3 linked regions of the Caenorhabditis elegans genome follow. The protein of the gene in region 1 interacts with the protein of each later gene in a pairwise test. Each region holds a gene or a part of one and is shown in the gene's direction. Other genes may lie near its edges. The genes, in order: mcm-6, rpia-1 and fbl-1.

The links.
Region 2: the proteins of mcm-6 (region 1) and rpia-1 interact in a two-hybrid assay, tested with the Caenorhabditis elegans proteins (one large-scale study listed by BioGRID).
Region 3: the proteins of mcm-6 (region 1) and fbl-1 interact in a two-hybrid assay, tested with the Caenorhabditis elegans proteins (one large-scale study listed by BioGRID).

The regions. Positions count from the first base shown.
Region 1 is NC_003281.10:9,792,511-9,796,265, forward strand, and holds the start of mcm-6 (DNA replication licensing factor mcm-6), read left to right. Parts: upstream 1-1,856; 5' UTR 1,857-1,857; coding exon 1,858-2,093; intron 2,094-2,142; coding exon 2,143-2,431; intron 2,432-2,478; coding exon 2,479-2,764; exon of another isoform or gene 2,765-2,785; coding exon of another isoform or gene 2,786-3,001; intron 3,002-3,043; coding exon of another isoform or gene 3,044-3,322; intron 3,323-3,379; coding exon of another isoform or gene 3,380-3,487; intron 3,488-3,532; coding exon of another isoform or gene 3,533-3,705; intron 3,706-3,755. Other genes in the region: R10E11.9 (uncharacterized protein), read right to left, coding at 76-346, 545-634, 686-758, 991-1,048; srxa-10 (Serpentine receptor class XA 10), read right to left, coding at 2,786-3,001, 3,044-3,322, 3,380-3,487, 3,533-3,705.
Region 2 is NC_003281.10:7,121,263-7,124,951, forward strand, and holds rpia-1 (Probable-ribose 5-phosphate isomerase), read left to right. Parts: upstream 1-1,865; 5' UTR 1,866-1,922; coding exon 1,923-1,982; intron 1,983-2,029; coding exon 2,030-2,182; intron 2,183-2,229; coding exon 2,230-2,472; intron 2,473-2,596; coding exon 2,597-2,896; 3' UTR 2,897-3,073; downstream 3,074-3,689. Other genes in the region: B0280.9 (U3 small nucleolar RNA-associated protein 18 homolog), read right to left, coding at 1-87, 326-458, 506-599, 657-757, 809-989, 1,038-1,246, 1,293-1,368, 1,474-1,629; B0280.2 (uncharacterized protein), read left to right, coding at 3,425-3,505, 3,592-3,684.
Region 3 is NC_003282.8:9,538,820-9,542,574, forward strand, and holds the start of fbl-1 (Fibulin-1), read left to right. Parts: upstream 1-1,988; 5' UTR 1,989-2,032; coding exon 2,033-2,072; intron 2,073-2,225; coding exon 2,226-2,461; intron 2,462-2,508; coding exon 2,509-2,662; intron 2,663-2,781; coding exon 2,782-2,934; intron 2,935-3,215; coding exon 3,216-3,473; intron 3,474-3,755. UniProt on the Caenorhabditis elegans protein: Incorporated into fibronectin-containing matrix fibers. Plays a role in cell adhesion and migration along protein fibers within the extracellular matrix (ECM).

The DNA.
Region 1 (3,755 bases):
TGGCACTTTCAAGGAAAATGAAAATCGGAACGTTTTAATTTTTCAAAAAAAAATCCAATTGAGCAGAATATATAATTATTGAAAATATTGATAATCCAGTTCTTGATCTCTAGCAGCTGCATAAGACCTTCTTTTATCAGTTTCCTCGTAGCTTCTTCGGAGTTCCCATTGAGTTCCAGAATCTATTGTTGAACTGCTAATTGTTTGAATTTGTGAGTCTTTCTTTGTTGGCTTCTTTTCTGGTTCAATATTTGAAGATTTCTTTTTTCTTCCAACGAATATCCAAGAAACACAACAACAGCAACATACAAGTAAGAGAAGAACAAGAAGAATTACTCCGATTATTCTGAAAAAAGTTTAGTTTTCAAGATGTTCCTGTTTAAGATGTTCCAAATTAAGAAATCCAAAATTTCATCCCCTTATAGGGATGTTCTGAGAGATGTCTCATTCTACTACAGATGCTCAAATGAAAACTTAAATTTCTTCTGTGGATTTATATGACTTAGATGTGGATCTAGTTAGAGCTACTTTACAAAAAGCTTACATGGGTTCTTGTCTAAATCTCCAACAACAGTTTTCCAAGAACTCTCCACAACATTCATAATATGTGAAGAAAGAAGCAGTTGGACACCTCCTAAACGAGAAAAACGGAATTATTTGCCAATTATAATATTCTCCAACTTACATTGGAGCAGGTCGTGGTGAGTTAAAATACCACGGTCGGCGGCAAATGACGTCATTGTATGATTGAGATTTAACTGAAACAATTCTTTGACAAGGTATTTTAATAAAATTCATCATATTTTCCAATAAACTTGAAGCTAGGTGAGAAATATGGCTTGTAGCACCGAGATCGTGTCGAGACCCACTCAGAAATCCAGCGTGCGCCTTTCAAAATTAAATGGAAATCTCTAAAAAATGTTTATAGGTGAATTTCATCATACTATAGCGCCTTTTGAACTTTGAACTTTTAAAATTGTCGAAACTCACCATTTGAGATCAGAGTTAGATTTAAAATCAAAACGAATAATTTAAAGAGAAAGTGCATACTTATCGATAAAGCAGTATAACACAACTTTTCTGTCGACAAAGCTTGGAAGTTGTAGTGTCCAGAAAGCAAACATACACATATTCTCGCATAAGTTTCCTCGGCCTGTTGCGCACGTCTGACTCATATTTATTCATTCTAAACATCGCCCGAATTTCTGAAATTCTAAGAAGTACAGTAACCCGAATGGTCTCAAGGTAACCTATCTCCCCTTGAAATTAATTCAAGTTTGAATGAGAATTTTGCATGTTTCAAATTTTTCGTGACTCTCAATAACTACTGATTCTTGAAGTCTACATTACAGGCTATTAAATTAGAAATCGTAGGCCCGATTTTTATCAAAGTACCGTACCGTGTGAGTTTCAAGGGAGGCACGTTTTTGGGAAATGGTCTTGCGACGACATGGCAAGAATTGTTATTTTTTAAAGCGCCTTTTTCTGTTTTTGATTTTTCCCAATAAGTTTTTTATTTTATTCATAAAATATATCTTTTACATCTGAAAAAGCAAGTTTCTGAATGACAATGAATTTCTGTCGAAATTCAAATTCACAGCCGCACAGTTTTCGCGCCTAATTTGTCTGCGTCTCTTTACCGCGCACACTGTTTCGTCTACAACACTCCAGTGTTTCGGTACGCAGGTTGCCGCCAAAATTGAGTTTTGAATTTTAGGTGTCTTATTTCTCGTCGTTTTCCCGCATTCTCATTGTTTTCCTCTTCAGATTGCACCGACTTCCTGAATTTCTAGTTCTCTTTCTTACTTTTTCGATTAAGAAAGTTGCCTTAATTCTTTTTAAATCAATTCTTTCAGCATGGACAACATTATCGGCGGTCAAGCCCAGCAAGTGGAGGACACCGACGGAACTCGTGTGCAGAACGAGTTTTCCAAGTTTTTGAAGAGCTTCAAAGACCAGAAAAATGAGTTTATCTACAAATCTGCGATGAAGGAGCTCGTGCAACCAGAAAAGAATACCATTTTCATTAACATGCAACATCTCTACAAGTTCAGTAACAATCTCGCAACAACTATCGAGCTGCAATACTACAGGTAAATTAAATTCGATTAGTATTTTCGAATACTTATAAATATACTTCAGGGTCTATCCATTCATGTGCGAAGCTCTACACTTGGCCACTTTAGATGCTTGTGATGAAAGTGAGAGACAGCAAATGTTCAAGAAGCAATTGTACGTTTCGCTGTTCAATCTCGATGCGAAAACGAAAGTTCGTGAGCTTTCTGCGGACAAAGTCGGAGGCCTCGTGCGCATTGCCGGTCAGATTGTCCGAACTCACCCAGTGCATCCAGAACTTTCACGGGCTTGTTTCGTGTGTGAGGATTGCGGTGTTACCACACGTGATGTTCAACAGCAGTTCAGATACACTCAGGTATGCGGAGATAATAATTAGCTTATAACGAATTCAAATGTTTTCAGCCAACTAAATGTGCTAATCCTCAATGCATGAATCGTACCAGATTCAGTCTCGATGTCAACTCATCTACTTTCGTCGACTTCCAGAAGATTAGAATTCAGGAGACTCAAGCAGAGTTGCCTCGTGGATCAATTCCACGTACTGTCGATGTGATTGTTCGAGGAGAAATGGTTGAAACTGTCCAACCAGGAGATAAATGTGACATTGTTGGAACTCTTATCGTCATTCCAGATATTGCTCAATTGAGCACTCCTGGACTTCGTGCTGAGACTTCAAATCAGAACAGAGGTAAACAATTTTATTCGAAACTCATTTCTTAGTGGAAGTAGTTGTCGCAGATACCTTGATTGTCTTCTTTTTCGCTGGTTTCATACAGAAAACTCTTTCTCGAACAAAATCCATATAGATTTTTCTGGTAACAGGGGTAAAAATGAAGTATACTAGAAATACATGGCATGGCACCTGAGCTAGTCGAAAATAAGTGAATGCGAGCTTTCCGTCAAGCGAAAGATTTCCAAAGAGTTCCTGAAAACTTGCATAGTAAACGCTATTTCGTTGAATTTATACCGGAACAACTCGTAGAACAAGACTTGTTAGCTCATATACAGAAAGATAGAAAGCAGTGATAAAAGCTTGAATCATAAGCATTCGTTCAGTCTTCTTTTTCGCTTTTAAAACATCCGAAGGCATTGATGTAAACTGATCTCCATTCCCACGTCGGAACATATTTTTGATCTTTGTATATGTTGGTGATCTTTGAAGTTTGAAGTTTATAATAACTAGCACATTGAAAAAGAATGCTACGAACGGAAAGAATACAGAGTAATAATTGGAGAACGTTGTGATCTACAAATTAAATTATTAATTTTTGTAACACAGATATCATCCGTAGATCTACTTTACCTGATGCCTGTCTGGTGCACATTCAGATATGAATCCAACTTTTCGTATATCATAATTTATCCGACACTCACTCAGATAGGGAATAATAAGACATGCGAAATTGGCAGTCTGAAGAATAAATGTATCATTTGAAATCTTAGCATTTCAAGATACCATATGAAATGAAGTATAGAGCCATATTTTGCTAGAAGTGAAAAGCTGAGATGCCTGCATACTCACAACTACTGCTATTCGATTAATAGTCATCAGAATAAGTGTGAGCATTGGATGAAGATAATTGAACGTTACACCCACCGAAATCATAGCTCCTATTGAATCCCGATATGCTGAAAATATAGATTAGAAAATATATCCTTCCTCATGTGTCCGGACAGTT
Region 2 (3,689 bases), 2.7 Mb from region 1:
AGATTAGAAACATTGAAAAGTGGACGAGGATTTGTAGAATTGCGGCAATCATTTCCAGAATAGACATTCACGATTCCGGTATCACTTCTGGAAATTTCAAATTTTCATCATATAATCAGGATGTATGTAAAGACTAGGTCATTTATTTTCACCGGAATTCAACAAAAAAAGATTTTTTTTTTTAAATTTTTGTTGCTAAACTGAAAATATCAACAAAAAAAAAGATGTAGCAAACTGTACAATTATATTAATATATGAATTATATGAATGAATGACAGTATCGTGATTTTACGAATTATAAAAGTTTGATTTTAAAAAAGCTTACCCAGTCGCAAAGTAATCTCCATGTTGGCTGATGGCGAGTGTTGTTCCGTGCACAGCTCCATCGTCGGTGAATGTATGTTGCGATGATTTGGTTCCCGGCAATCCAATGTTTGCGATCACAATTTGGCCGGTCTCTAGAAATTTCGAATAATTTTTGAATTTTTGGCAATATAAAACCAACCGCAGATGATCCAAATTTCACGGCTGTGCGATGGGAAAAACTTGATTTCTGACGCATTTGCTGGGAGTGATATTGTTGTGATATGCTCCATCGACTGAAACATTTTACATTTAAACTTTTAATTTGCCAATAATTTAATTTTTTGACATACAGTAGCATGGAGAACATAGATGTGAGAATTGTGTCCTGCAATTGCCAAAAATTGAGAGTCATGCGAAATGGCAAAGAGCCGAATTCCTTGCTTTGGTACTGCTGTAAAATGTTCAAAGTTTTGCTTCAAATTTTATTAAATATTAAACGTACTGTTTGGAGGTTTCAACTGTGTCACTTCTCTTGTTTCCATATTGTACTGCATCAAATATTCCTTTCGGCTTGAAGAACAGATCACAGAGTGTCCTTTATCAGCAATTTCCAGACTATCAATCGGGAATTTTGAGAAATTCGCACTTTGAAGGAAACGATCCTTTTTAACCTCACGACTTACCTGAAATAAGTAAGGAATGGTTTAATTAAAACAGAAAACACAACTTACTTTAAAAAGTTGAACATTTCCACCTTGATCGGCAACAATGAGCACTGGTCGGGTTTTATGAAATTTAACAACAGTGATTCCACGAGTGTATCGGTGTCCGATGTTGAAATCTTTTATAAGAGTTGTATGAATAGTTGTTTTTGGTAAATTCACGTCTTTCGCCAAATATCCGGCAGCAGTTTTCAACAATGACCCTTCTTCTTCGTCTCCTAAAATTGTAAAATACGATTTTTGAACTATTGATTTTCCAAAAACCTGCAGCAGCCTTAGCCCATTTTGGTGTGCCTCCGTGGCGTTTTCTGAACGCCTCTTGCAATCTACCAACGTATTCCTAAAATATTAAAATTATTTTTCAGAAGTAATTTATCCTTCTGCCTATTTTCAATTATATAATCTTTATTACACGTTGAATAACGTATTTCTAAAAAAAATTTACCTTTGAATCCAATTCTCCATGTTCTTCGTCTGTGGTTCGCTTGAGTTCAACTCGCATTGTCATTTTCACTTTTTTTGGAACCGCCACAACCATATTATCGTCGTCCTCATCGTGCCACGCAGGCTTTTCAGACTCAATCACTGGCCGTTTGCTCATTTCTCTGAAAATTGTTCAAAATAACCTTAATGAAAGATTCAATAAGCTGAAAATTAAAGAAAATTCGGAAAAGAAAAAAGAAAAATGAGAAGCAATTGTCGTCAAATAGTGTGTGTTATCGTAGTTTTAGTGCAAACACCGTCACGTCTCAATGCAGAATTTCATTAATTTCAGTATTTCAGCTGAAAATTTCAGTCTTTCTTATCAATTTACTATTGTTTTCGTTTTCTTTTCAGCATTTTTGTATGTTTTCTACAAAATTTCCATTATCAGGAGTATTGCGAACCGCCAGAATGGTCACCTCCACCGGCCCTGAAGCAGAACTGGCTCCTATTGAGCAGGCGAAGAAACGAGTAAGTCAAAAATTAAGACCAATTCCAACCCTCATTAATCATTTCAGGCTGCGTTTGCCTGCGGTGAAAAATATGTGCAAAGTGGTTGCCGTCTTGGTGTTGGATCCGGAAGCACTGTCAAGTATTTGGTAGAATATCTTAAACAAGGATTTCAGAATGGAAGTCTCAAGGATATCATCTGTGTTCCAACCAGTTTTTTGGTAAACAGATTTTCAACAAACCCAATTGTTATAAATAAGTATTTCAGACAAAACAATGGCTGATTGAGTCTGGTCTCCCTGTCTCCGATTTGGATTCACATCCAGAACTGGATGTGTGTATTGATGGAGCTGATGAAGTTGACGGACAGTTCACGTGCATCAAAGGCGGAGGTGGATGTCTGGCTCAAGAAAAAATTGTTCAAACCGCTGCAAAAAACTTTTACGTGATCGCTGATTATTTAAAAGATTCCAAACACTTGGGTGATCGCTATCCGAATGTCCCAATTGAGGTAAATTATTTAACTTTTTATAATTATCAGTAAAGAAAGATGCACTAAAGAATAAACTTTAGAACAATAGTTTTTTCTAAATAGATGTAGTTATGTTGACTGTTTTTAATGAGATTTATTGCAGGTTCTACCTCTTGCTGCTCAACCACTTCTACGTTCGATTCCACGCGCTGAAGGTGGAAGCTGTCAACTTCGACAAGCTGTCAAAAAGTGCGGACCAATTGTGACAGACAATGGAAACTTCATTATTGATTGGCAGTTCGAGAAAAACGTATCCGGAAGAGATTGGTTCGCGATTCAGCAACGATTGGCCAATACACCAGGAATTGTTGAAACCGGATTATTCATCGGTTGCGTCGACGCAGTATTCTTCGCGTACTCTGACGGATCTGTCAAGGAAATTGTCAATTCCAAGAAGCACTGACTACTTGCATCGAATTTTGTTCATATTGAAAATTAGTTGTTTCTTATCACCACCACACTCTCCAAACTTCACTTTTCCTCTTCCCAGTTGTTGTGAAAATTGTACCCATTCATTCCCAATGTTCCTAGTATACGTGTAGTTCTTAGAATAGCCCCAATAAAAATTGTGTTGAAAAAACGTCTTTCTTAAAAAACTGAAAAAAAAATTAGAAAACTCTGAAAACGTTTTGAAATGTAAAGTGTCTGGATGTAAAGTGTCTGAAACTGTTTAATTTCAAATTACAGTAGTCTTGAAGTGTATGAATGGCGAGGATAGCTTAAAGATTGAAAGAAATGAGAATTTGCTTCCTAAATGACTCATTGGAGGCGGTAAAATTAAGAGCGAGCAATAATTTCAAAAATACTGATAAAGTTGGGAAATAAGTAAATATTTCAAAATTTTTAACAATTGCTGTATTAAAAAGCACTTTCGTCAAATCGTATCATTCGTATTCTATTCATTCCAGATTGTTCAAATTTTAATTTCCAAATGATTACATCTGAATTGAGTGATTTCCTCGAGATCAACGAAAAAAATAGTGTTCTAAGAGGAATATCGGCAAGCGATAAGGTATGATTTTGTGCACTAAGAGATAGGCACGGTCTCTGCTTAAAGACAAATGTAGTTTCAATTCAACTAGCTTGTGCTCATTTCAGATACTTTCATCAGGTATTTGTCAACTTCTTTTTTCTGAAAATGGGCATTGGCGGATACCGAATGGGGGAACCGCTGTGGCATTGTTTTTGAAAGTAAG
Region 3 (3,755 bases), on another chromosome or scaffold:
ACCAAATTTCCTCTATTAGTATTTTGCTCTCTGTGAGCCATGCAGTCTATGCAATCTACCTACCTAGCGGGTCGGTGTTTCTTTAGGGGTGGCAATAGGTTGCAACAGGTCGACCTATCGCCACCCCTAGTTTATTCCAAACCAAAATGAGGCTCCGAATTAACGAGTATCAGAGGTATAAGGCGCATACAAAATTTGTGGTGTCAAATATTTGGCAGTCATTTTTTTTTGAAACAAAGAACATATTTATTTTCAGTTATTTCCTACAAAACTTTAAAAACTGCAATCTATCTAATCTTTAAAAATTTCAATTATGTTCAAAAAGATCTGAAATTTAAACGGTTAAAATATAGATATTCATACAAACGAGAAAAGAAATATATTCATACAAACGAGAAAAGAAATTGCCGGATTTTTAACCAAAAATAATCAAATCCTGAAACTTCCCACCATTTTCCCCACTTCCCAATGTTTTTCCAACATTCATGCCTTTGAGTTCAAAAAAGATTTTCATTTTATTTTCTGAATGTGTACCATCACATGTGAACTCATTCCTCCTCCATCGTTTACGATCTCTTTTTACGAGCTCCGCCCTCGAAAATGCTTCTGATCATGTAAACGAAAAGAAAAAAGATGAAGAAGACTGCTGACTGACTGACGATGTATCATTTTCTCACATTGTGTTATGTTGCGATTGAGTGTTAAACTTTTTATTTAGAGGTTTCAAACAGATGAGTCACTTGCCGATTATGAAAATACTGTTTTCGAGTTTGAAAATGTATATAACTTGTAAATATGCAAACTTGTAAAAACTTGTAAAACACTTGGCGTTTATTTTTTATCCATTTTCGTTTCCAACTCTAGAACAAGAGAGAATTTTGGGAAACTCTTGCCAGTATCTTACAAAAACTTTTTTGTGTCGTTGTAACATTGGATAAGACATTGGAAATAGTTGTTCAAACTTGTAGATACTTTGGTAATAGCTTCATAATGGTTTCACAAGTCTAACTCAAACTGTGCAAAAGCTTCACAACTTCTCAACCAAGTCTATTTTTTGGGAAAAAACTGCTCAAGAAGTCAGCTCCAAATTCTGAGTAAGTATGATTGTTGCCCTGAAACGTAAAACAAAAATCGGATAGGTATTTTCCGATTTTAACTATAAATCCACCATAAACCCCGTCGATCAATTTTGCGCTATTCCAATGAAAGACCGTTTTTTTTCAATTTAATATTTTCAAAAACTAAAATAATTCAAATAAATTTTTTGTTTTGGTTTCAACAGTGTCGTTTGCCATTTTTCTGTTCTAAAAATATACCCAAAATCTCACATTTCCTCGAAACATTCCATGTAAACATCTGTTCCAATGCTCCTCCCTCTTCCTTTCAATGCTCATTTGAAATTGTTTCACTTAATTAACCAGACTATTATCCGTGTCATTTACGGGCACATATACATCTACATACATCTCAATAATATTAATAACAATAAGCTTAGATTAGAAAGGAAAATGCGGGAACATGAGACGCAGGCAGAAGCAGATAGATGGGCGGTTCCAAATCGGGAATGTTGGAAAGCTTTTCGATTTAGACACAACGAATTTTTGAGCAAAATGTGATAAGAATAGTAATATGTTGTGCTATTTTTATTGTTATTATTTTCTGTTTTATCATTCTTTTTGCGTCTTGCGTAACACTTATCACTAAACGGCTTTTGTGAGGTTTTCACACGTTTTCATAAATTCTTATCAGTTTCATTGTTTTTATGGGAGTTTTTTCTTTTATTCTTCTTTTTTTAAAAATCTGAAAGTTTTCAGTACAAACTTTTTTTACTTGCCCTGTGTACGAAATATGATCTAAATGAGCACATGATGATGTGATATTATTTGATCTTTCCTCGAAATCCTACTCATTTTCTTTGTGTCGTGCCACTTCCGTTCCAATTCACAACTTTTTGTGTTTCCGTTACAACATTATCTGCTTTCTTACAGAATTACGGAAACCCCGTGGAAATTTTAGTAGATTGGATAGAAATATGCGAATTTGTTTCTTATTATTGGCATTTTTGGTGGCAGGTAAGCTTTTTAAATTTTTTCAAATATTTATTTAAATTTTATGAATAATTAATAAAGAGGGCCCTCAAAAACACTTTGAAAATAGGCCATTTTCTAACATTATCCATAAAAAGAAAACTATCACAAACAACGGGAAACTTTCAAAATTTTCAGAGACCTTTGCCAACGAACTTACAAGATGTTGTGCTGGAGGAACTCGTCATTTCAAGAATTCAAATACTTGTTCAAGTATCAAAAGCGAAGGAACAAGTATGACGTGCCAAAGAGCTGCATCCATATGTTGTCTCAGAAGTTTATTGGATAATGCATGTGACTCTGGTACAGATATTGCAAAAGAAGAGGAGAGCTGCCCAAGTAATATAAATATTTTGGGAGGTGGATTGAAAAAAGTAATTTTAAAAAATCGAATAAAAATATAAATTGAGATGGATTTCAGGAGTGTTGTGATTGCTGTCTTCTAGCCAAAGATTTGCTCAATCGAAATGAACCGTGTGTTGCTCCAGTTGGATTTTCAGCTGGATGTTTGAGAAGTTTCAATAAATGTTGTAATGGTGACATTGAAATCACACATGCTTCCGAGATCATAACTGGTAGGAAAACAGAACATTTTCAATATTATTTCTTTTTAAAAAATTGAAATAATTTAATTCGGAACTTTTCATAAAAAATACCCGATTTAATGTTAAAATTGTTTTTTCATGTTTTACAGGACGTCCACTCAATGATCCACATGTACTTCATCTCGGCGACCGATGTGCGTCATCTCACTGTGAGCACCTCTGTCATGATCGTGGAGGCGAAAAGGTTGAATGCAGTTGCAGATCTGGATTCGACTTGGCACCAGATGGAATGGCTTGTGTAGGTATGAATATGTTTTACGCTTTTTTTTGTGCAGGTCAAAACCAAGTTAGAACTTTTCGAAAATTTAATTTTGAATGGAAAATAATAAAATTAATAGTAAAATACATAGTAAAATTAACATCACACTGTTTATCTGAAAATTGGTATGTATTTTATGCAAATTGGCAGCTTTGATAATTTTCTTTTGTTATTTCACGATTTCAGAAAAAAGTTTTCCCACTTTCACTACATCCATTCCCGGTCCTCTAGCTTACCCACATACCTTTTGTGCTTCTCTTTCAGATCGTAACGAATGTTTAACCCGCCAATCCCCATGTACCCAGTCTGAAGATTGTGTTAACACAATTGGTGGATATATCTGTCAGAGAAGAATTTCTCGTCTTGTTCCCCATCGTCATCGTGCCAATCGAATTGGCAATGCGCCAAGAAGAATGAGAGACGATCCATATTCTCGTGCTGGAGAATATAGAGAAGCATCACAAGCAAATACAGAGTTTGGATGCCCAATGGGATGGCTTTTTCAACATGGACATTGCGTTGGTAAGATAATTTAACAAGAAAATTAAAAAAAAAACAAAATTTAAAAAGTTGTGTGCTTATTGTTTTTTGCGCACTTTAAATTCAAAAAATTAAAGTTTAATCTAATTCTAAATTAACTGTTTCTTGAAATAATATTTGTCGTGTGCTGTCTGTCTAACCCTCAATCCCTAGAATGTTCTCTCCATCATCCATGTTCACATTCTAATCAACATTGTCTACCCTCTCCTGGGAATAATCGTGGCGATGGTTCCTGTGTCTGCAATCGAGGATATTATTGGAGTG